2 linked regions of the Oreochromis niloticus genome follow. The protein of the gene in region 1 purifies or fractionates together with the protein of each later gene. This does not show direct contact. Links are inferred from orthologs where the notes say so. Each region holds a gene or a part of one and is shown on either strand. Other genes may lie near its edges.

Evidence for each region.
Region 2: the proteins of cdk7 (region 1) and gtf2h5 purify together in Homo sapiens (affinity purification with mass spectrometry; 7 studies listed by BioGRID and IntAct, with this or other methods). This does not show direct contact. The link is inferred for Oreochromis niloticus from reciprocal best matches to the Homo sapiens genes CDK7 and GTF2H5.

What each region holds. Positions count from the first base shown.
Region 1 is NC_031977.2:17,308,055-17,321,920, reverse strand, and holds the start of cdk7 (cyclin-dependent kinase 7), read left to right. Parts: upstream 1-8,303; 5' UTR 8,304-8,392; coding exon 8,393-8,458; intron 8,459-8,698; coding exon 8,699-8,758; intron 8,759-8,843; coding exon 8,844-8,877; intron 8,878-8,968; coding exon 8,969-9,036; intron 9,037-9,173; coding exon 9,174-9,242; intron 9,243-11,446; coding exon 11,447-11,557; intron 11,558-11,662; coding exon 11,663-11,781; intron 11,782-12,013; coding exon 12,014-12,113; intron 12,114-12,217; coding exon 12,218-12,304; intron 12,305-12,433; coding exon 12,434-12,583; intron 12,584-13,783; coding exon 13,784-13,866. UniProt on the Homo sapiens protein: Serine/threonine kinase involved in cell cycle control and in RNA polymerase II-mediated RNA transcription. Cyclin-dependent kinases (CDKs) are activated by the binding to a cyclin and mediate the progression through the cell cycle.
Region 2 is NC_031980.2:11,767,029-11,778,817, forward strand, and holds gtf2h5 (general transcription factor IIH subunit 5), read left to right. Parts: upstream 1-6,985; 5' UTR 6,986-7,048; intron 7,049-7,357; 5' UTR 7,358-7,405; coding exon 7,406-7,440; intron 7,441-7,539; coding exon 7,540-7,720; 3' UTR 7,721-7,782; downstream 7,783-11,789. Other genes in the region: protein SERAC1, read left to right, coding at 1-65, 1,176-1,265, 1,857-1,988, 2,081-2,202, 2,290-2,418, 2,583-2,696, 2,855-3,017, 3,270-3,420 and 6 more. UniProt on the Homo sapiens protein: Component of the general transcription and DNA repair factor IIH (TFIIH) core complex, which is involved in general and transcription-coupled nucleotide excision repair (NER) of damaged DNA and, when complexed to CAK, in RNA transcription by RNA polymerase II.

The sequences.
Region 1 (13,866 bases):
GCCTTAATTGGTTGTTTTCTCTTACCCGCCCCCTACCACCATCATCTAATTACCAAGGTATTACACAGTAATAACAGATGGAGACCGAGTAGTACCACAGTTGTTTGGGGCTGGTGTGCGTCTCCTTGAGTGGTGGCGTGAGCATGTGCGCGCGTGCGCGTGTGTTTCGGGCGATTTTGCTGGCATGTGACTGCAAGCAATTTCACATTTAAGGAATAACAGTCTCGCGGGCAGAATATGGAAGGCTTTGTAGGTGGTGACAGGCAGCTCAAACAGCACACATGGACAGCAGACACAGGCGGCCAAGTGGCGTTACAAACACGAACACAGTTTTTCACCGGCGAGGTGCATTCAGGTGTGGAATGTGGTCAGTCAACCGGGGCTACTTACCCATGTCTAATGTTGTCTCACACTCGGCTCTAACGTGTAAATATTTTATCACGATCATTTACAATCCATTTAGAGACATTTTACGCAAGCGACGGATGGGGTGACAGCCTCCCGTGGAGCTGTCAAACGGTGCCAGAAGAGACGGATATGTTTTTTGACAGAAAATCCCGGGGAAAATGGCGTCAACGGTGCTTTGGAAAGCAAAGAGAAAAAAAAAGGAGAGCGAGAAAATAGGATTTGCAGTCGATCTGGTGGCAGAATCAAGGTAGCCGCACAGGGGAGGAGAAAAAATCCAATCGGAAACTTGGCGCTTGGGTCCAGTTCCTGGTAGAAATAAGATCTTTAGAGGCTCTGGCGCGTTGACTCGCGCTGTGGAGAGCCGCCGCTGACGCCGCCGCCGTGCGCACTGAGTCTCCGATGCCTTGCGGGATCGCTGGTCACTCGGAGAGCTTGCACGGCACTGAGATCCCTCGCAAATCCGCTACTCGGCTGGTTTGGGAGGAGGAGGGGGGTGAGAGCAGGACTGTTACTGCAGTCAAAACAAGCCCGCATCCGACTACAAGCCCAAATCCAGCAGCGGGGGGTGGAATTTCAGCGACAAGACCGCGCTTTTAGTCGTCAGTGGGCTGCACAAGAGGCAGGAGATGGTAGTGGGGGTTGCTCGTCGCCGGTTGCACTGGGTCAAGCTTTTCTCTACCTCTCTCTCTGTGTGCCTCTCTCTCGCTCGCTCTTGCTCTCTCTCTCTGCTTTTCCGATCGGTGAATGTCAGGTCCCGGAGCCTGGTGTCTGGTAATGATCTCACCCAGCAGACTGAAAGCTCTGGCAGAGCAAAGCAGAGGGGAGAGATGAGAAGAGGAGGAGCGACATCGCCTCCCCCTGGCAGCAAACAACCTCAACGAGTCTCCCTTTTTTTTTTTCCTTTTTTTTTTTCTTTTCTTTTCCAAACCTCCCCCTAATTCCCAGGGCTTTCTCCCGTGGGACTGCTCTCATACTGGCACGGTGTTATTTTAATGTAATGCAAATAGGGAAAGCAACATCTGGCAAAAGGCTTGTTGTTTTGACTGAGTCACTGCTGTGAGGAGAAACATGTTTGGCACTGGTTTTCAACAGGTTCAGATACCTACCTGCATACAGAGCAGAAGAGACTGCGACTGAAATAAATATTTTAAGGGAAATATGCATCTGATACTATGTAACTGTAGTCTACTGAGCTTGGCTTTAAAATGCCTGAAATTGTAATGATAAATAAATATTTAATGGTCTTAGAGCTGTGGGATTTGATTAATTGGCTGGACATAAACAAACAGGGGTAAAATATGGACTACAGATAAGTTTGAGTGAATATCATTTTGTAGGCAAACTAAGAGTTGATGTTTAAATTCACTATAGTTTCATTAAAGTTGTAGTTTTTTTGTATTATTATTATTAATAATTGGTGTTTGGGGGCTGTTGACTTCTGAAGTGGGGGCAAGCCAGAAAAAGTTTGAGAATCACTGTCTCAGAGCAATTATACCAGACAACAGATGTTAATTCAGCTCAACATCTGGCCAGTCCGATTTGAATCAGTTTTTGAGCTACTGTGGCTTCATTTGAACACTAACCGGGCACCTGCATGAACAATTGGGCATAAGTCAGCAGCAGCATTTTATTTAAAAAGTAAAGGGCTTCACTTAATTAAACATGAAAAAAGCTCTGTCATCAGAAAACAAATTTAAAAAAAAAGAGCACACAATTAACAGCCTTAATGATATAACAGATGCACTAAGGGCAAAAAAAGCTCCATCCCTTCATTCTCTTCAGCTTATCCTTATCAGGGTCGGGGGTTACAATAAAAGCTATCTTTTTTCATATAGTCAAAATGAATAAAAGATAACCGATTTAGAATATTAGAGATGCTGTGATCATTGCCTTCACTTTGCTCCTCCAGAATAGGCAGCTTCTGCTGAGTCATAACTTAATACATAAATCTTATCAGTAGTGGTTCTAATGCATATCCTCTGGGGGTGTTTGACATGAAACATTTTGCAAGCCCGTGGGCTGAACTATAAATAAAGTTTATCACCTTTGTCTTCATAGGAAATGGCTTGTGCGCAAACCACTACTACTGGAATGAGCTGCGATGGTGCTATTTGGTGAGCGTGGTATTCATTTATTCTAATTCAACATGTGTGTTCAGCGAGACAAACGCTGCCACTCCACGCTGCGCTGCTGACACGTTGTATTCAGAGTAAGACAAGGTGGGTGCGTGGGTGGGGTTGAGTGGGTGAAAAAAAAGGCAGATTAGAGTGGGGTGTGCATGTGTGTGTGTGTGTGTGTGTGTGTGTGTGTGTGTGTGTGTGTGTGTGTGTGTGTTGTTCTAGTGCTGGTGCTTTCCCCTTAATATGTCAAATTAGAGGAGGATGGAAAACCCACATCAACCAGGCATGAACAAGCCGGAGTTGTTCCATTAATTCATCTTTGTCAGAAGTTATGTTTATATCGGGTCTCCATGCAAAACTTGACCTTCCCTGTATGGAAAACATTCTTTAACATTAACAAGCGATGCAAATGATGTCAGATGACCTTTCTCTCTTGGTGCCCCACAGTTACTAGCTGTTACTCATCCCTGGCATGTGTGTGTTTGTCTGTGTGTGTGTGTGTCTGTGAGTGCATGCATGCCCATGTGTCCCTGTGTAGAGCACCCACTGGGAGATGTTTCATTAGCCAGGGTGGTGTGCTCAGTAGCATGTAAACACTCGGCACAGTTTCAGACTTGTAGTTAAAAATCTGCAATGCCATCAGCAGTGTGGATGCTACTGCTTTGCACTTTGCCTGCTGTGCCACATTGACTAGTTTCACAATTGCATTTGCATGTCTGTGTGTCTGTGTCTTTATTATATTGAGAGCGCTTTCATAACAGCGCCTTTGATCATCTCTCCATATAAGGGCATGGGGCCGGTATTAAAATATAGCGTGTGTGTATTTCGCGGTGTTTTACTTTATCTTTATGTAGACCAAATGTTATGACAGTGAAAGCAACAGTCCCAGGATTTCTAAACAGATTTGGCATGATCTGCTCTACATATTCATTAAAATAAGGCTCAGGTTTATGGCTACGAGTCAAGGCTACCTTTAAATTTGAATTAATCTGGGGAGGGGTGATTTTTATGGGTTTTGGAGGAGAGAAACAGAAACTGACTCTAGAATAAATTTAAAATAGCAAAATCTGTGTGTGTCTGTGTTCACGTCCGTGTGTGTCTATTGATCTGGGTTGTGTGCAAGAACACAAAGAGACCCCTGAGAGAGAGGGGTCAACAGCTGCTCCCCAACAACCAATCAATTGCAGTGTATCAGTAAACATTACACTCTCGCTCTCTCTCTCACACACACACACACACATATACGCGCGCCCGCGCCCGGACACATAAAGACAGCACTCTCTTCTCAAATCTGTTTCCATGGATACCAGATACAGGCGGCCAAGAGGGAGCAGTTTTCCAGCTTAAACTGTAAATATTGAATTATGATGGGGAGAAAAGAGACAGCAGTGCAGGGCAACGTTCCTGCCTGAATGATCTAAATATCTGGATAATCCTTTCATCTCTATTCACCGCTACAGGAAATCTGGTGCATCATTCATGCTCATCAAGTTCAACATAAAAAGATCAATCTGTCTTACGGATCCAGCCACTTATGTGACGCTCTATTACAGACCGAGAGCTGCCCTCATTCCTTCATCTCTCCCTGCCATTTTGTGTGTGGAAGATCTTCATTCCCTCAAGTGGGATGCAAAGTAAATGCTTCCCTGTGCTTGATGTGCGGCGCATAAAAGTGAATTCAAACCACTTTAGCCGAATGCTGGGCTCCTCTGTGGTTTGATCAATGGGGAGAGGGGAGATTGAAAGATTGAGATGAAGAAGTGAAGAAAAAAACAAGTTAATTAATAAATGCTTTGGCAAATGTTTCAAGTGGGGGGCCACTAGAGAGCAAAGCAGAGATAGAAAAGCTGAGAGGGAAAGCAAAGGTGAATGGCAGTAATTGATTTGGGGATCTTTATAAATATTATAATCGCTGGCGTCTGCAGAGATAAAATACTAATAACGCACTTGTATTCATAACAGAGCTACGCAGCTTGACTGCGCCGTGAGTGAACACACTAACCTTGAGCTGACATTGTGAGCAGCCGAGACTCACGGTCAACCAGCGAGGGGCTTCTCTCTGGGAGTCCACTAATCTCGCAGGGCAGCGGCGGGCTCATCAGAGCTCCGAGACCCCTGGGACTGATGGAGGTAATGGGGTGAGCTGAGAGAGTGGGAGAAGGAGTGTGTATATGGGCATCAGTGAGGGGGAACAAAATAAAGAAACATAGTTGTGTGTCATGCAGGCACAAATGTGCGTAACCAAAGTGCATCTGTGCACACATGTGCATGTCTGTGTGTGTCAGAAGGTGCGAGGGCCGTGCTGATGGAATGAGAAGTTAATGGGACGTGTGACAAGGTTGATTACTGAGGCCTCGGTGATCTGACTGGGTTAATGAAGTAAATGGCTCCTTGGATAACACACCACTGTGGCCATCTCTCCAGATCCTGATACGCACAAACAAATCAGAGGGGCCTTTTCTTCCTTTGCCTTCCAACTATGACTTCCCTCACTGTGCTCGTGGCCATCATGGGTTTTGAATTAATCTTGGGGCTACATTTCACATGTTCTTTCATCCCAAAGTTCTCTTACAACACCCTGCTGCAAACTAGAAGACAAATAAGCCTATATAAGAGGTAAGGCAAACAATGGAATATTTTCTGTATGTACAGCATTAAAACAAGGGAGCTCAGCACACAGTGTTCAGCCTCTTTGAAGGATTTAAGTGGCCACATGTAGTTTGCAAATACAGCCAGACTTACATATTCAAGAGAAGATGCGCACACACGCACAAACACGCAGACAAACACAGGAAAGGAAAAGAAACACTGCCAGACTTTGTTCCCCATTTGAGGCTGCGATAGAGATTTTTCTAATGAGTGCGATAATGATGTCTGAGAAAAGACACAGACCAGAATGAAACAACAATACAGATGGGTGCTACGACAACAACAAAGACGCCCTAAATGCAGTTGACTGTGGACTCCCCGCTGGCTCTGTCTATGTGAAGAGATGACACTGCGCCCATCCCCCTGCTACTTATAAGGACATTATCATAATGTTGGCTCCGTACGAGCTCAGCTATCAAGTGGGCTCATCTTGAAGTCGTCCACAAGCCCCGGTGTACGCAGATGCTTCAGATGCCTGAGGAAGACAGTGGTGAACAAAAACATTTCTGCCCTAATATTAATTCAGACTGACAGCTCTGCCATCTAACAATGCAGCCCAGGACTGACAGCACCAATTTGACAAATCTCTGCGTTGGTTGTAAACACACAGCAGCACGGAAGATAATGATTGTCCTTCTGTTTGTCCTTCTGCTTTCTTATTGTCTTGTCACTACAGACATCTGCAGAGAATGAAAGGGGCAAAGTGAAGCATGTTTGTGGACCATGTGTGGCTGATGCTTTTGCAGTAAGTCAGTAGTTTTAAAAAAAATGGTGTGGAAAACCTGGCTTATGTGCTTCAATAAAAAAATAGAGATGAAAAAAAAAAAGTAAAAATACAAATGTCAGCATCTATTAGACGTATGAATAATGAATAATTTGTTCTGAGAAACAGATATTGTTTGTCACGGCTTGTGTGAACCTTCACACCTCAAACATCCACCCTACAACATCCTGTTGTGTTATAACTGTGCATGTGGTCAGATACAGCTGCATGTGTATGTGTGTGTGGTGTATGTGTGTGCATGTGTGTGTGCGGGCCTGTGAGAAAGAGTTAGAAACATAAAGAAAGAAAGAGAGAAAGAGGAAAACTCCCTAGATGACAGAACGCAGCCACTTCCCCAGAGACTCTGTGAGTAAAAAGAGGACAGAAACCTACAGCAGCAGGTGTGTGATACAGCACTGACTGTGATAGCGCTGAATCATTCATCCCTTACGCACTCGGTGACACCATCAGAGATCTTTTTTAACCTTTCATTTCTGAAGTATTGACCCAAAACACTACACTTAAATCACTAAAAAGTATAACAGAACAAATGATGACCAACAAAAAAGACCAAAAAAGAACATCCGGTGTGCATCATTCAACATTTTAGGGCATATTCTCGAGGCAAACTTGAGATTGTGACACTGCTCTTCTGCAGAAAAATTGCCTTTGCACTTCAACATTTCACTCCATCAACACATCTTCTATTCCGCATTTTGAAGAGATATGCATGGTTTTTGGGTGGCAGTGACTTAAAAGAAATCTGTGAGTGTGTGTAACAGCATGTGTGTTAAATGCAAATTTTTAATAAGGGCAAATACATTTTTATTTAATTTTTTGACATCTCTGAACAGGTCACCCCAAATGCATCCTCCTCACACTCATCACAAATGAGCAGATTATCATAGCTGTGCAATCAGTGTAAAAATTGTTTCTGAGGAAGAATTAGGTGGCCACATACCACACACACATACACACAGATAAACGACATTTGGTCTGCATTTGTTGTTTACTGTACATTGTGTGAACACTGTCCCATCTGAAGCTGCTTTCCAGCAGCAGGATGTGGTGGCGAGACACGTCCTCGCTTAACAACACCCACTTCCTATGAGTTTGATAAACAGCTTTGTGGTTTCACTCTCCTCCTGCCCGTCAAACAGAGGTATACACACAAACACGCGCGCGCACACACACACAAATATGCACACACCCGCTCAACAGCATCACCATCTGCTAATGTGACACATAACCAGAGTGAGTTATTGTTGTGCATAATGTTACCCATAGTGTCATGTGATTTACAGAGACAAACTATACAAACGCTACCAGAATCACTTATGTCTCTCTTCATCCGCAGTCTTACCGAGACACTGAGGGGAATGAGGCAAGAATGCCTTTAAATCATGGCAGAATTAGTAGGCATCAATATGTCATATTTGTTTTAAAGCAAGTGATGTAAATGGATCTGAGTTATGTCAGCTGTGGTCGTTAACGTCCCACATTGAGCCCCTCCCCCCACGTGTGTCCCTAAAGTTTGATTATAAGATAGTAAAGTCTTCTCTTCTCTTCTCTTCTCTTCTCTTCTCTTCTCTTCTCTTCTCTTCTCTTCTCTTCTCTTCACTTCTCTTCTCTTCTCTCCTCTTCTCTTCTCTGCATGGTTGCATGGGCACATACGGTCCTGTCACTCACATCTGGGAGCTGTCAGATGAATGTGCACACATCTGAGAGGAGAATGAGGGGTGTATTAGGCCTGCTGATCCTTCACACCCCTCTTGTCAAACTTAACATAAAAATGAAAGTCAGTGGCGAGTGTGCGCGTGCGTGCATGTGTGTGTGTATGTGCGTGTGAGGCAGCAGACGAGGAGGGTCAAAGGAGAAGAGCCATGCCTAATCCTGTGGGATGTGAGGGTATCTCACTGCGTATGGAGATGAGATGTAGAGATGTGCTCAGTGGTGCATGGATCACAAAACCTTCCTAACTGACAGAAGAGACTCCCAGGAGACAGATGTCAAACTGCTAACTGGTGAAAGAAAAATAAAGGGGGCAAAAAAAGACAAACTGTGAGGAAAATAACAGTACTGCATGTTGCATCATAACAGTAAAATGTTAGATATGACAGAGGCGAATGAGGCTGGAACTGAGATTAGATCTCCCCTTCACTTATTATTAATCTTAGTAGTAGTAGCAGTATTAGTATTGTTAGTATTATTAATATTATTATTGTAATTTAACAAACCTTTAAAAATCCAGTAAAACAAATCCAGAATAAATAAATCATGCTAGGTTTTTTTATTTGGCTCTATAATTTGGTTCGCGGTGGTGTTGGATAAATAAAATCGGTAGGTGTCGCTGTTGTTCAATTTAAATTTAAAGCCTCTAACCCGGAAAGACTACTTGCGGTCCTTTAACAGAGCAGGAAGTGCCTCAGCACGACACTGACAGTTATCTATCATGGCGCTTGATGTGAAAAGCAGAGCCAAGCGGTACGAGAAGCTGGATTTCCTCGGAGAGGGTCAGGTAGGGGGAAAAATATTTAAGAGATATGTGTCTTTGCTTTTTTCTTCGCACGTCCTTAGACCGCTGTGTTTATTGCGTAGAAAGCACGATGGCGAGCTAACAAAGCGTTAGCTGGTTGCTAATGTCAACAAAGCATCCGTGGTTCATGCTGCTCTGCTTCTTGTGCCAGTAAATTTCACCAAAATAAGTTTAAAAAAAATTAAAACTTTTTGTTTTTTGAATATTGTTTTTTCTCTGCAGTTTGCCACAGTGTACAAAGCCAGGGACAAACTGACCGACACAATAGTTGCCATTAAAAAGGTAAAAGAAACGAGCTATTTACTACTACCATTCACACTGTTTGTTGATGAGCCGCAGTAAACATTTACCTGTTTATTCCCTTCAGATTAAGGTTGGCCACAGGACTGAGGCTAAAGATGGTAAGTGCTGGGTCCTATCAATATGCTGCAGCTCATTTTCATCCGTTTTATATATATAATTTTTTTTACGTATTTATGTTTTTTAAAATAGGAATTAATCGGACTGCACTCAGAGAAATAAAACTGCTGCAGGAGCTCCATCATCCAAACATTATCGGGGTAGTTAAATGTTCATCGCACATCATCATAATCTTGTGTTACTGGTATCGATTGTATAGGAAGATACCTTAATCTTTCTATATTGTGCAGATTATTTATTTTTTGACCTAAATATTGTTGTTTTATATGTGTGGCAGCTGTTGGATGCTTTTGGACATAAATCAAACATCAGCCTGGTGTTTGATTTCATGGAAACAGACCTGGAGGTGAGTAGAGACCTAAATAGAAATGTGGAGGGATTTCATACACAGCGTTTGTGCACTTTTAAAAAATATTCACTTTTTTATTAGTTTGTGGGGGTAAATAAAAGGGGTAAATAGATGGATAGAATAGGTAGCAGCTTCCCACTTCCTTAATAATTTTTTACGATTTACGGCTTTAATGATTGGGGGGAAAAAAATAAAAAATTCTCAACACAATTTTTTTGCTTTGGTGCTTCGTAGTGCTCAGTTGTCACTGTGTAAGTGGGAGCATTTCATTCACAATTGTAACTAAAAATAAAAGCATTATGGGACATTATAAAATAGGGTTAAATCAACTGGCAGTATAACAATGTGCTGCACTGTTCATTAGTGTAAATATGTTAAGTAAAAGCATTAAAACATTTCATATCACGTCTCCAAAAATATGACTTTATGATTTTTTTTAGTCAAACAAATCTTAATAATTGTTCCTATATCTCAGAATAACAAGGAAAAGTAAACATTGAGGAAAAGAAAAGTTATAAGACACATTTACAGTGTGAATATCTTAAAGTGAAAACATAAAACAATGTAATACATACTGCATTACTAGCTGCAATGACTATATACCTACACAGATACATATACATCAGTTCTCCAAATCCTTAAAATCTTCAAGCAAAAAATAAACTATGAATAAAAAAAATAATACAATAAACATTTCCTTAAAAACAGGAAGGTTTTTCCCCTCATTTTAAGAACAATTGCATTAAATATTATTATTCTCGCATCAATTTGTGAGCAAATAATAATTTAGGCTTTAATCTCGTTCCATTCACACATTTACTTTTACATGCTGCTGGTTTTTGGCTAAGAAGACTAATCTGTTCACAGCTTCGGGTTTAGTAAACATTCTTTTGCATAGCTCTGATGGGGGTTTTTTGTGTGTGAATTTGGTGAATGAAGTGCAACATGTTACCAGACTTCATTGGGACCTGTCGGCACTGCGTCTTACAAACTGTTTCTTTTATTTCTTCCTGAGCAGCTGATACATTTTACTTCTCGGCTTTAGTCACCAAGGAAGAAAAAAAATTGTGTCAAAAAATAATTCAAAATGTTGAGATTAAACTTGAAATAGTATTTTGATAAAAAACTTGAAATAAGTGTCGATGTTATTTTCTCCTCAACTCTATAACTTCTCTGTTGGAAAGGGGTGTTTGGAAGGCCACAAACACAACAACCAGCCGATCTGAGCACAGTGTGAACAAGTAAATAGAATACATTTCTTATCTGTAGTTAAATATTAATAATATAACATTAAGAGCTCTTAAAGTCACAAACAGACTGCCAAATCTTAGACTTACCTATTTTATTTTTAGAAACATCTTCCAGTACAGTGTTGCCTAGAGGGTACAGTATTGTACGATATTATTTATTTATTTGTTTGTAACAAAACCCTAAGATGTCATGTTTTGCATTATGGCTGCTTCTGTCTGGAGATTTGTCAGTCATCTCTAATCTGTTAAACATTTCTTTAAAAAAAAGTTTTCTTTTTAATTCTGCAGTTCCCTTGTGGGCCAGCAGGTGGAAATTTTACCCTTTGTTCACATTCTTAGTGTAAGGTCAGACTAAAGTAGAGTAGCCAAGAAAGCATGAACAAGAGGTCAAACAAAGTGTCACCAGTGCTAAGCTAGGTGTTACTCTGGCTTTTATTTGGATTATCTAAGCATAAAAAGGCTCCAAATAGGCGCCCACCAGTAATACTTTAGACCCTAATGGAATGATGCAAAATAAGATAAACGCACTTAAAAATAATCAATATCACTCTGCTTTTGGCTGCTCAGTGAAGTGATGCCATTACAGGCAGCAGAAAAACAGGATGCACATGAGGATGAAATGTGATGCTGATCTTATTACCAGTGCTAAAAGCCTATATTATAAAAGCCTATATATTTTTGGACTGCAAGGTTAGCTTTAGTTAGACTCCTGCATTCAAAGGTGATGATGGTTCTTGTTATGAAGGCTGAACTGTTCTATCTTGGATGATTTCTTCAGACGGATATTTTCCAGATGTTTTCGATTGTCTTGTCCACTCAGAAAAAGTGTATTTTAATTTTGTGTGTGTGGCCTAGAGCTATGAAAAAACATGAATTAATGCATGGATGTTAGTAATTATGAGAAGTCTGGCTGTACGTATGACCCTTGGTCTTTGTTTTGTTGTTTTTAAGGTTATCATCAAAGACACTAGTTTAGTCTTAACTCCAGCCAACATCAAAGCCTACATCCTCATGACTCTGCAGGGATTAGAGTATATGCACCAGCACTGGGTCCTACACAGGGTAAGAAAACGTGTGCGCAGCATTCACACATAAATATGCCCATGTCTAATTTGTAATTTATATTTTGGGCCTTTTCCTCTTAATTTTTTTTCTCTTTTTGTGCAGGATCTGAAGCCCAATAATCTGTTGTTAGATGGCAGTGGGGTGTTGAAGTTGGCTGATTTTGGTTTGGCCAAGTCTTTTGGCAGTCCTAGCAGAGTCTACACGCATCAAGTTGTTACCAGGTCAGATCAGTCTCCATGTTACCTCATTAAAAATACAGAACTTCTCCAGAGTTAGTCTCATTAGAAATTCTTCAGAGCAGCAATATTTTTTTTAAATGTTTTCCATGATTTAATAAAACATTTAACCAAACTAGGACTGGTTAAATGTGACAGAATTATACTAAGAAGTCCAGGTTGCAAGGTCTGTAAAATATGTCTCTATTTGTTGTTCATTCATTCATGTCTTTCCTAGGTGGTACCGATCACCTGAGCTCCTGTTTGGTGCCAGGATGTACGGTGTGGGTGTTGACATGTGGGCAGTGGGATGCATCTTGGCAGAGTTGCTGCTTCGGGTAAATAAACCTCACTTCAAAGATATGAGCACGTAGTCGCAGGGGACGCAGCTATTTTCATATTCATGCTAATGTCAATGTTTCTACACTCCCGTTTGCTGTAGGTTCCGTTCCTTGCTGGAGACTCGGATCTCGACCAGCTTACTAAGATCTTTGAGGCTCTGGGAACACCCACAGAAGAAACGTGGCCTGTGGGTTTGTTTGGGGTTTTTTTGCTGTTGAAGTTTTGTTTTGTTTTTTAGGTTTTTTTTACAGTTTGGCCTGATTTTGATGAGATGTGGGGATTCTTGCTTACATTGTATTGTTATATCTCTCTTTAGGGCTTGAGTAGTCTACCAGACTATGTGTCCTTCAAAATATTCCCCGGCACACCGCTGGAACATATATTTAGTGCAGCTGGAGACGATTTACTTGAGCTGCTACAAGGTCTCTTTACCTTTAACCCTTCAGCGAGGACCACAGCTACACAGGTAATAAGCTAAGCATTCTTACACTGCAGTCTATTTGATGATTGCTGGATCGGCTTCAGCACTGAAATCCTGTTGTTTCATTTGTAGCTCCCTCAGAATTACAGGCCTCGCTTCAGGCAGTACGACTCTCATTGTGATCAGCCGGTGAAGAGTGTCCTTTACTTTAAGAGTGTAATGCGAAGATAAACCACTAATAGACTTGTAAAACTTGACTTTACAAGACTTGCAAAACAAAAAGTAGACATTTCACCTTCGTACAAGTCATGATGTGGTTGCCACACAGCTTTGTGCTAGGAAGAATAAATAAATATAAATGCTTATTATTTGCTCATTTTTAAGTGCACATGTTTTTTGGGGATGTTTGGGTTGACGAGTTGTGAGCAAAAACTGTACCCGAGTTAAGTAGCTGTTATCCTCTTCAATGCCGCTTCCTTGTGCACCTCTGACTCCCAGTGCTCCCACTGGTTGGAATTTGTCCTTCGAAGTTTCTTCTGTCCAAATTATAACCTTTTAAATTTCAATATTATTTTGAAACAAGAACATCACAAGGATTTAACTCTGGAAAGAAGAAGTGTTGGTGAGCAGCGATTGTGTTAGTGAAATGTGTAGTGTGGAGAACTTCTTAGTAGTAGGTGTAAGCAGGGGTGTGATGGCACACTGTTCAGGTTGTTTGTTCTTTCTCAGAAGTCTCAGTATGTTAGTAAAACTCACTATTGTCTGATCCAGGCGAGTGAATGCACTCTGCATAGCTGGTGCTCTCCCAGCGAAAACTGGTTTCTTCTCCAGTCCTAGGCACAGAGCCTGTTTTCATTACCTGTGACAATCCCTGACATAAAAGCTCGGTCAGTCTGATACAGGAATTGATGTTTGCCTTCTGTTTGAGCTCTATCGTAAAATTGCAGCTTCAGTTTTATTTACATGGCACCAATTCACAACAGTCACCGCAAGGCACTAAATAACTCATAATACTAGAGAGAAAACCTGAACTATCTCATTTTGCGTTAATCATAAACTAAAGGACTGTGCTTCTGCATTGTTCAACAACTGCATTAATCACACATCTTCCACTTTCTCTATTACACATCTCAATAATAAGAAAAAAAAAACAGCTTCTTGCATCTTTGATACATCAAATTAGAGACACAACTCTGATGTTTGATGCCACAGATGTATAAAAAGGTGTTTTCCTTTATTCTGCAGGCTCTAAAGATGAGGTACTTCAGCAATCGGCCTGGTCCCACTCCTGGTCCCCAGCTCCCCCGGCCAAACTGTTCGGCCGAGGC
Region 2 (11,789 bases), on another chromosome or scaffold:
GAAGAACAAGTCGTACATCTATCTGAGGGCCACTCCTTCAGATGAAAAAGACAACCTAACTGGAGGTAATTAATGCTATCCTAAACAACCTCATGGGTAACATGAGACATTATAATGTGTCTTTTCATATATTTACATACCCTATGTTGCTGGATTCAGTCACAACTTTTCACCAAACCCTGGCTGGTGTTTCTAGGACAATCCCAGAATAAACAGTACATTTATAAATTCATCACAGAGTCTCATATTTTATCTTTTTGCCTGTTGTACTACTCTGTTTGTAGTCCTACATTTTCTCACTGCATCAAGATATTCACATTCTGTTTCTACATACCTCCATCCAGTGTCAGACTTATTTTGGGACGAATTAGACCTTTAATTGTGAAAATACACAAGTTCAGATGTAGCATCCGCCATTCGGCATTGCAGTATTTCTTCTTGTACAAAATCTGTTATTTTAAGCTCTTTTGCTGTATAACATATGTACATATTTCCACTAGCCCATAAATGTAGTAAGACTGTTTAGATTTTTAATTTAAATTTACTGTTTTTTGGACATGTTCCTTCTTCCCTCCTGTGGGAGGGCATTATCTGACAAATATGCTGAGTGGCTACATTTTGTTCTTGTATAAGAAAGTGTTGAGTTTTTTATGTTCAGTGGGGCAGTGACATCTGCCTTCATTCTTCCTGTTTTCCCTTTCCTGCCAGGACTTTGGGCCATTTAGTGTTGGGTGATTTTACTTCCTCTACCTTTTTAGTGGAAGCTTTCACAATCAACTTATATTCAAATATAAGCTGCTTGATTATGCTGAAACATATGATCATGATCATTTTAAGCAGTACTCACTCATAATACGTTAATTTCACTTTTAACTTAAAATAAGTACATGTGAACTTAACACACAACAGTATAGCAGGGAGTGTGTTTAGGCTTTCGGGGAGGTGCAAATGCTATAGCTGTAAGGATGAGATGGATTTATAATGAAAGATAAAAAATAGAATCATTATTATAAAAATGGAAATATAAATTAATCTCACTCAAATTTGATTAATTAGCCACCTCTACAGGAAAGCATTTCTAAATGGTTTCTGTTTTCTTTATAATGTTATAGAAATGCAATTCCAAATTCTGTCAAGGGAGTAGTGGCTAGTTGTTTTTTCTGCATCTCTTCCAGGACTTACACACAAAGCAAGGAGGGAACTTCATAAAGCAGCAAGACGGTTTGTGGAAATATCCTCGAGGCTTTTACTGCAATCACTCGATGGTGAGAATCTAACAAACACCAATTCACCAATAACATAGATACACCATAATGCCACCCCTAATATTTCTTGAACTTAACTTCTTGAACTTGTTGCCAATAGCAGGGCAAGTGTTTATGCTCAGAAAACTGTAGTCATTCAGTCAATTTTATGTGACGTATGTGCACAGAGACCAAAGGAAACACCTGCCTTTGCACATGCACATCCTGTTTTGAATGCCACATAGCTTGTACAGTGGTGTGGATCTTGTGAAAGTGAGTGGAATAAACAGGTCTGAGATTTTTTGTTTTGTTTCGGCACCTGTAGTTTTAAATCCGCAGACAAAAAGTTACATTGACTTTTGTTTACTTTAACCTTTTACAAATTAATAGCTGCCAAGTTGATGACACAAGTTTCACTCCTGCAAGGTTTGTACTGTAGCTCCTTAGCTTTTGTAATAATGTAAAAGGTGACGCAGTAGACACTGGTAGTTAACCATTTAGCTGTAGTTAGAATTGCTAAAAGGTCCAAATAGAGGAATTAGTACAACACATCTCTATTTTTATTCTCTAAATGTTCAGACGGTCAGTTTGTTCTGTAATTTTGTGTCTTAGAGCACTTCAGTCATGTGGATGCTGACCCACATGAGGTGGCATTGTGGGTCCTGCTGAAGAAGACACAGTCAGCTAATAAAGCCATCAGACTAGAGGCTGTTCAGGAGCTTGCAGACAATCACCACTGGCATGGTAAAGGACCCTAAAAGTTTCCTGTCACTTTAATTTGATACACAACACAGACCTGCTTTGGTCTTAGATCACACCTGTTTTGAATAATCCAGATTACCAGTACCAGACGGCAGCACAGGTTATAGACCATCGGACAGCAGTGGGCTTGGCCCGGACGCCTCAGGTAGACCTGAGGTTTTTCCGTCACCCACCTGCACTGCCTGATTTGGGGGAGGTACTCAAATCTACTCTTTAGGATATTTGCCATTTGAATGCCTACCTCACAGATGTGCTGCATCTCACTATAATGTGATCTTCTCAGGGTTTGTCAGCGGAGGACGGACTGAGGCAGCTTTTGGCATCTCTGCCTCAAACTGAGGTGGACAAATGTGTTCGGTACTTTACCTCACTGGCCCTGAGAGAGAGCACTCAGTCCTTGGCAGCACAAAGGGTGACAATCACAGATTTACACATACATGTACAGTCTTTAGGAAGGTGATGGTCTAAACAGGAGGACAACAGTCACTGGGATGTGCAAAAAAAAAAAAAAAGAAAAAGAAAGAAAAAAGCTAGTTTCTATATCCTGTCATTAACACGTGCGCTTCATTGTTCCAGGGTGGTCTGTGGAGTTTTGGAGGCAATGGGCTGCCTTATGCCCAGAGCCTCACCTCTGTTCCTTCTGAGAAGGTGGAGTCCTTCTGTCTGCAGGCACTGGTACAACACTCAAAGGTAATCATCATTGTGCATCCAAAGGTGATTTAGTCTGGAGTCGGTGGCTTGATTACTTACTTACTACTCGTTGCGGTCATTGTAGCAGTGTATTAAGGTCAATTCTATGCGCCCCCTGTCTGGATGTTGCCTTGTGGTTAATACTTTGCGATCTGCAGGTAAGGAGCCACTGTGACCACATAGTTGCCAACGGAGGTCTACAGCTTCTCCAGAGGGTTTATCACCTCAGAACAGACTCTATGAAGATTCAGAGGAACATTGTTCGCATTATCGGAAACCTGGCTCTCAATGAAGGTGCCCATCAGGCCATAGCCCAGTCCGGTAAGTCTGTAACTAATCTGAATAAACTGGAGACAGCTCTGATTATGTGTAATCCTGACTGGGTGCGCTAAAGATGTTATGAAAGTAAGGTCTAAAATATATGTTGTGCTTGTTTCAATTAGAGATTAGATTGTCACCATCACAAAAAAATGTGTTTACTTTTATAGTTATCCACCCCAACTTATAAATTTTATCGTACTGCTCACACTTTCCTGTTTTTTTTCCCCTACTTTACCCATAAAACACCTGCAGGCTGGGTGTCTGTCCTGGCTGAGATGATGCAGTGCCCTCATATCATGCAGGCGTCTCACGCAGCTCGTGCTCTTGCAAACCTGGACAGGGAGACAGTAAAAGAGAAATACCCAGATGGTGTCTATATCCTGCACCCACAAACACGTAGCAAGTAGGAAAACAAATTCAGTTGTTACATAAATGCATTAACATCATTTTATTTTATTGTTATAACCAAACCATCATCTTTGACAATGTTTTCAATTTCCAGTCAGCCAATCAAAGCAGACGTGCTGTTCATACACGGGATTCTAGGGGCAGCTTTTAAGACGTGGAGGCAGAAGGACCGCAATACGTTAGAGGAAGAGGAGGCAGCCAAATGCGAAGATGACTATACAGAGTGCTGGCCAAAGGTAACAAAGGCACCTGATTCCTCTAATTACATTAATGGATTATTTCAGTGTTTTCCTCCTACAGTGAAATTGAGTGTTTCAAGACTTAGAAGTGTGTTGTCGTCTCTGTGAAACTCTTAGGTCTCACACAGCTTAAGATTTATCTCAGTGTTCTTCCATGTCGTTTTATCACTGTTTATTGTCAGTCATGGTTGGCTGCTGACTGTCCAAATCTGAGAGTGCTGTCGGTGGAGTATGACAGTCATCTAAGTGACTGGATGGCCCAGTGTCCTGCTGAGAATCAGAGGTAAAAAAACAAAAAAAACAACGATAAATCTGTAGTTTCTTTATACGTCTACATGTGATTAAGGTGCTACTCTTGGTAAAACAGAATATTTTTGCAAAGTCAGGTGCCCTTGGATTAATTACTCCAACAGATTAAAGGGTTGACTATCTGTCTCTCCAGGAAGTCTCTAGCCTACAGAAGTCAGGAGCTGCTAAAGAAGTTAAAGCTGGCAGGAGTTGGAGAAAGGCCTGTGGTCTGGGTAGCCCACAGTATGGGAGGTATTTCTCCCACATCTTTCCTTCCACAAGCATGTTGGACTTTTATGCAGATCCCTTGAATCAAACTTGAAAAAAAAAAAAAAGAAATTACTAATCTATCCTCTTGCATTTGGTTTCTCTTGCAGGACTGCTTGTGAAGAAAATGCTGCTGGATGCCTCACAGGACCCAGACATGCATGGGTTATTACAGAACACCAAAGGGATTATGTTTTATAGTGTTCCTCACTACGGCACCTTCATGGCAGAGTACTCTGTCAATGTCAGATATCTTCTCTTCCCCTCCATAGAAGTCAGAGAACTCTGTAAAGGTCAGTGAATATGATGAATTCTGTGGTCTATGAAACTCTTTCAGCATCTAATGTGAATTGATGTGTGTGTTTTAAGATTCACCAGCTCTGCGCAGCCTGAATGATAACTTCCTGAACCTGGCCAAAGAAAAGGATTTCAAGGTGCTGAGCTTTGCAGAGACACTACCGACGAACATTGGACCCATGATCAAGATACTTGTGGTACCAACGCAGTCAGCAAGTATGTAACTCCAAATACTGTAATGTCTGAAATGTACAGCTTAAATATTTTAAAAAAAACACATAGTTGAAGCAATGTCTTGCGTCTCATCGTGTTGTGGTTTCAGATCTCGGGATTGGTGAGCTCATTGAAGTGGACGTAGATCACCTAAACATCTGCAAACCAGAGAGGAAGGACTCATTTCTATACAAACGCAGCCTCCAGTTCATCCTGGACGCTCTGCAGAGCTACGTCACCCACTGACAGAAATCTATAAAAACAATGACACTGAGACCACCTGCTGTATACTTGAAATGTATATCACACTCCAAACCAAACAGAGAAATAACTGCACATTCACATGAAGCACCACAAATGCAATTGCAGTATAGCTAACGAAATCAAATTTATTTTACACACGGATATATGTGGAAACCTGTCAGTTGTGATAACGATAGCAGGGTGCGTTTTTTGTTGTTGGGGTCTTTTTTAAGTCATCCACTGAGATCGGTCTCTTAATTGTACATCAGCTAAGTTTGAAAGAAAACAACTCTTATGTTTACAAGTAAATTAAGCACATTACAATTTTATCTAGATTTCCTTTTATTTTAGATTTATTACCAGCTAATCATGGGATACATAATGCTCATTATCTACTGTATTTACTTAAAAATGCACTGACATTTTGTTGCCACTCATGCAACTTGACTTTTGACCAGAGCAAAGGTTTAAGACTTTATTTTTATATGTATTTGTTTTACTCTAACTATAGTGTGATTATCATCTTATGTGCCAAAACATATTCTTTCCCAAGCCTTACCTCAAGTGGACCTGAGTTAATACCTTTAGTTCAGATTGCACATACAGTTGTATGGGACTGATCAAGCAAATTAATTTTAATACATGTGTTTGCAGCCCCCACTGCCACTAGCAGTCCTAAATGCTGGCAATGAAATGAATAAATGTGTAACGTTTGAGGGTTTATGAGTCATCTATGCATTTCTATATACAAAGTACAAAATACAACAAAGTATTTGAAACATTCCTCTGGGATTTTGGCCCATATTGACATGATACCATCACACAGGTGCTGCAGATTCGTCAACTGCACATCCATGATAGGAATATACCACATCCCAAAGATGCTCAAGAGGATTGACATCTGGTCACTGGAGGTCATTTGAGTTCAGTGAACTCATACAAGAAACCAGTATGACATGATATGAGCTTGGTGACATGATGTCTTATCCTGCAGGAAGTTGCCATCACAAGATGGGCACACTGTTATCATAAAAGGATGGACATGGTCCAGAACAATAAATGGGTTGAACTAAGGGGCCTAAATTGTGCCAAGAAAACATTTCCTACACCATTAAACCAGCCTCAGAAACATTAGTTTGCTATTCTTACCTTATTCTTCTGCTGCTGTAGCCCATCTGCTTCAGGGTTCAAAGTTTTGTGCAGTCATAGATGCTCTTCTGCATACATTGGATATAAAAAAGTGATTATCTGAGTTACTGTTGTCTTCCTATCAGCTCCAAACAGTCTGACCATTCTGCTCTGATGCATTTTTACCCAGAGAACTCCTGCTCACTGGATATTTTCTCTCTTTTTGGATCAGTCTCTATAAATCCTAGAGATGGTTGTAGCTCAATTGACCAGCAATTTCTGAAGTACTCGACAATCACCCGACATTCAAAGTCACCCACATCACCTTTCTTCTCCATTCTGATGCTCAGTTTGAACTTGAGCAGGTCATCTTGGTCATCATGTCTACATGCTTAAGTGCACTAAAATACTTCCATGTGACTGGTTGATTGTATATTTGCCTTAAGGAGCAGCAGAGTAGTTGTACCTTATAAGTGGTCCTGAGTGTATATATATGGTATCAAGTTGTCATAGTTTTCCTGTTAGTGACAGAAGGGGGAAAATGGCACAGTACTGTATTTTATACTGGATCTTAACTTGCATTTTGCACCAATGTCATGATGCAGTTTTTTGTAATGCATTTCATGCACTTGGGTACAAATATTGCATTATTTTCTTCATAATACTCACTCATCTATACACAACGTAGGCTTTTTTTAAACCCACAGTATTGATATGCACTAAAATATAAAGCATTAAACCTTTACCAAGGACAGAAAAGCAGCACAGAAGCAGCAAAAGCTTTTAAAACATGCTAGCGCGATATTTGGACATCAGAAGATTGTCCCTTGGCGCACACCTTACATAACCCATCAATGCTTTGAAAACTTAGCAGAAACAGCTGGAGATCTCGGGTAGATAAAAGGCTGTTTGTTGCTTTATGTTAATCCTTCGCTTAACTGTAGACAGGTATGTATATGTATATGTGTGAAGTTTGCTCTTTTAGATATTTGAGATCGCGGTATGTAGCAGAACATGCCCGTGGCCATGCTATTTTGAGCTAATGCTAACCGGTGCTAAAACAAAGAGCTAGCATACGCTGTACTTAAACGTTTACAAGTATTTTCTTTGTTGTAATGGTAATAAAAATATTATTAAAATGTCCGAAAACATGTGAAGCGTTTATCTTACTGTTTAGTGCCTTAATAAGGGTTTAGGCTGCCGTAAAGCTGCTTCTACTTGAGGCCTTCAGCTGTCGGTTTGTTTACTGTGCTGCAGGTATTCAGCTCTTTAATCGGCTTCGACTGTCCATTTCTCTGCATCAATATGGTCAACGTGCACAAAGGTGTCCTTGTTGAATGGTAAGGTTGTAACTTTGCCAATAAATATTTGTAGCTAGTTTCACAGAAATCTGTTTTTAAGTAGCCGAAACTTTAACTTTCTCTTGCTGTATGCACTAGTGATCCTGCCATGAAACAATTTCTCCTGTACCTGGATGAAACGATGGCCTTGGGAAAGAAATTCATCCTCAAGGATCTTGACGACACGCACGTGTTCATTCTTGCAGAGGTGGTTCAAACACTCCAGGAGAGAGTCGGAGAGTTGATGGACCAGAATTCATTCCCCATCACACAGAAATAAACGCAAACTGTCAGAAGAAGTGTTACTTTTTGGCCATGGACTGCTCATGATCTCTGGATAAATGTTTGCAGTGTTTTAACTGCAGACTACAGTGGATTACTGTGAAAATGCTCAAGGAGTTCAAATACATTTTGATAGCAGGTTCCAGAATATGTTTTCTTTTTCTTTGCCTTCTTTAAATTGCAGATTAAAGCTACTGTGTCTGCAGCACCATGTGTTTGTTTTTTTATTATTATTATTATTAATAATTGATATGAAAGGAGCAAGGATCCGAAGTTAAATAAATCGACAGCTGCTTGTCGTTTAACAGTGACTTTCAGTTTTTTTCCATATTTGACATTCTGATTAAAGTTGGTCTAAAAATATTTAAAACGGTCTTTTGAAAATGTTGGGATGTTGTGTCTAATGTAAATCAAAATAATACAATTATGTATTGAAGGTCATTTAAGCCCTTTTAAAGCCTTTTAAATTGAAAATAATTTTGGGTAAATAGTCTCTTTTCACTATGTGACATCTTTATTTTTCTTTCTTTGTAATGTGACTGGGTGAAGTAACTAGATTTATTCGGTATCATTAATGCAAGCTAAGTTTCTCTACATTAGTTATACGTTGCACCCTGAAACATACGGAAAAACCCTTTTTATGATTGTGCACAGAGCGTGAAGCAGGAAAACTATTTAAAAAGAACGTTGAGGAACCACTTCTGACTGAGTTTTAGGATTTGTCAAGCCAGCTAACACAAACAAGCCCAGCTGTCTTCAAGCTGCTTTGTAAGAATTTAGTCTTTTTCTTTTTAATTCCATACACACACATAATGAAATACCCAAATTCTTTGCAATTTTATGTTGAAAAGAGTTTAACTGGAGGTGACCCCCTCAAAATTTTATGATTTTCATTTTATTCACAGTGAGCTTCTTTTTATATCCATTAATATTACTAATTAATCCAAAAGCTTGGAGTTTTTCCATTAACCATTTTTCCCTTTTGGTTCAGCATTAAAGCTTTTTTTGTGGGAAAGATATTGCTCACAGCAAATTCCTAAAAACTCCATATGTTGCTCCCATAGATACCATCCAGCTTAACACACATGAGGCTCCAAATTATACCAGGAGTGGGGTTTGAACCCACGAGAGCATCCGCTCATTGGAACTTAAGTCCAACGCCTTAACCACTCGGCCATCCTGGTACACATATGTTGTGTAAATGTTTTCCTTTGGGAAACAGTACTGTCAGTCGGAGAAAGAAATGTATTAATCTTGTTTGTCAGGATCATAGCCATAAATGGAGGACTCTCGTAAAGTCCCTGGATTTTCATTCACACATATTACATGAGATATCTACTCTTTACACACTAAGGATCCACACTATCAGGGCTACACCACACTGCTGTTTTATAAATCATCAAAACCATTAGTATCCTACGATTTATTATATATAGAAAAGATCTGTTGCAAAATGTTTTCATGTAATCCTAAAAACAGAAAAACAATCTTCTGTACTATTAACCATCCACAAATGGAAACAACAGACAATACAGGTGATTTTAGCTAAAAAGCCAAGAAAAAACTGTGCTTTTTTTTCAAGAGATGTAATTTACAGCCACAGAAAAAAGACAGCTGCAGTATGTAGAGAAAGAGAATAGTTAAACCTATAATCAACATGAGTCCTTGTAGGTGGCAGCCTCCAGTTTTTACAGACTTCTATCGGTCTCTAGTGGACAACAGAGGTAACTGCAGGATTCAAGCTAGAATAATGTAACTGCAGTTCAAAACTACATTTTTGGGGGGGGGATTTCCCATAGAAAGTGTGTGTCCACGTGTCAGTCCAAGTCGCAGGATTTAGTATTTCTCAGAACAGTTAAATGCAACTTATTTACAGGTATTAAGTCGCAACATTTCAGTCTGTCTTTCATCAGTACAAAGACAATGTCCATATATTCACACGCAGACATATATATTGTGTATAACAAACCTCTAAGCAAGAACACAAGAATCAAACTACACTTCTTTTCCACAGTTTCAGGGGGGTGCACCGTTCCTGGAAATACTGCAATACCAGGTCGATGCGTGGAGTGGACGGAGCAAGCCCCTATTCCATCTCCCTGTTCCAAAAATCAATTTAATATATGGTCCCCGGATAGGGGACGTATCAGATATTAAACTGATAAGAACAGATACTACACTTGATCTTAGCCAAAAGGCCGAGAAGCGATACCCACATATCATCCGACACAAGGGAGTCATTCTGCTTACTGCAACTCTAACTCATGGTTACAAAGAAGAACACAGTCGTCTTCTAACAAATGGTAGAGGACAGGTCGAGGTTTTACTGACGTTTTACCTCCGAAACATCACAATATAACTATGCTCGCCATGTTTCAGTTTATAAACGGCGCCCCATATAAAACGACACTTTAGTTTCTGAAACGCCGGTCAGCGCATGCCGGTTAATGATATTCAAGATCACGTGGTCGTCTGCAGTCCAATCAGCGGTCGTTAAGAAGGAGCGTCTTAAATTCATTTTTATCACTTTCCTGGCGGTATAATTGTTTTCATAATATGATAATTACGTGATCTATGAAAAATAATTATAATATCAGTATCGCGCGTTGAATTGAAACGACGAAAATCAAATAAACACGTCTATGATTGTTTAAGGTTTCACGAAGAAGCTCTTCCGCCCTCAGGTGTACAGACAGAAAACTGCACCCAGTCTACTCTAGACCACAGTAATCTACTTGTACAGTACTGAAGCTGGATTGGCAGCAATTTCTAACCATGGAAGTGGACATACAAAACTAGCTTAAATAAGTTACAATTAATTCTGCATATTTGTAACTTTGGTGTGAAATGACTCTTCTCAACGCCTGACAGTGTAATGGCTTTACTGGGTATTTCTGAGAAGGGTGAAGTTGGCCAAGTCTGAGAAAACTCGCAGCTGGAGGGAGGTTGAATGTATCTGTTTATCTTTTCTGCATTTGTATTACTTTAACGAACTAACCCCAGTGCTATAAAAAAAAAAAACATAACAAACAAACAAAAAGCGAATAAATGTTTTACACTTTAGCTTGTTTAGCAGTTAGCAAAAGAGTCTTAGGTTAGAATACAAACATAACAAACAAAAAAATTAGGATTAACAAAACAGTACGACATCGAGAATTGAAAGTAGGGTTAAAGGACAGAATGAAATAAAAAGAACTGTTCATAAAGAGTTGGTTTGACCAAACCTACCTTTAAAGGGTTCTCTTAAAAACGAAGTCGCATCAGGGAGAATTACCTCGGGCTAGCCTTAATGTTGTATAAATAAAGCTAACCAGTAGGGGGCAGTGTTTACGTTATACGAAGTAATAGAACACAAGCCACCCTAAGCCTAGCCGTAGATGTCCTAACATTGTGGTGTGATGGTGTGACATTAAGTAAAAACATTAAATAGAACTATTGCCAGCTATTTTTTAAACACTTCAAAACCCACCCAGTTTAACCACCTTAAACTAACAAAAGCTACACTTCCACCGAAAGAATCAGACATGTACACTTATCTTGAAGCATTTACAATTCTTAAGATTGCAGTCCAATTTAGAAGAAAACTGGGTGATGTAGAGACAAGGCACCATCTTGGTTAAAATATATATTTAAGTCAGCTCAAGAGGACGAAGGCAAGGAAGTCAGCAAGTTGGAATGGAATCTGCTCCAGATTGCTCAGGGACTGTGCAGACCAGCTCTGTCAGGTGATCCTGTACATCTTCAACCTGAGCCTAAGTCTGGAGAGGGTTCCTGAACTGTGGAAAACTTCCTGCATGGTTCAGATGCCAAAAATCACACACCCCAAGGAGCCCAACCCCCTCAGGCCTGTGGCCTTGACTTCTCATCTGATGAAGACCATGGAAAGGGTCGTTCTGCACCACCTTTGCCCACTGGTGAGCTCAGCGATGGACCCCCTGCACTTCACCTACCGGTCTGGAATCGGGGTGGATGACGCTGTCATCTACCTGTTACCCCAATCCCTCTCTCACCTAGAGCAGGCTGGCAGCACTGTGAGGATCATGTTTTTTGACTTCACCAGGAGACTA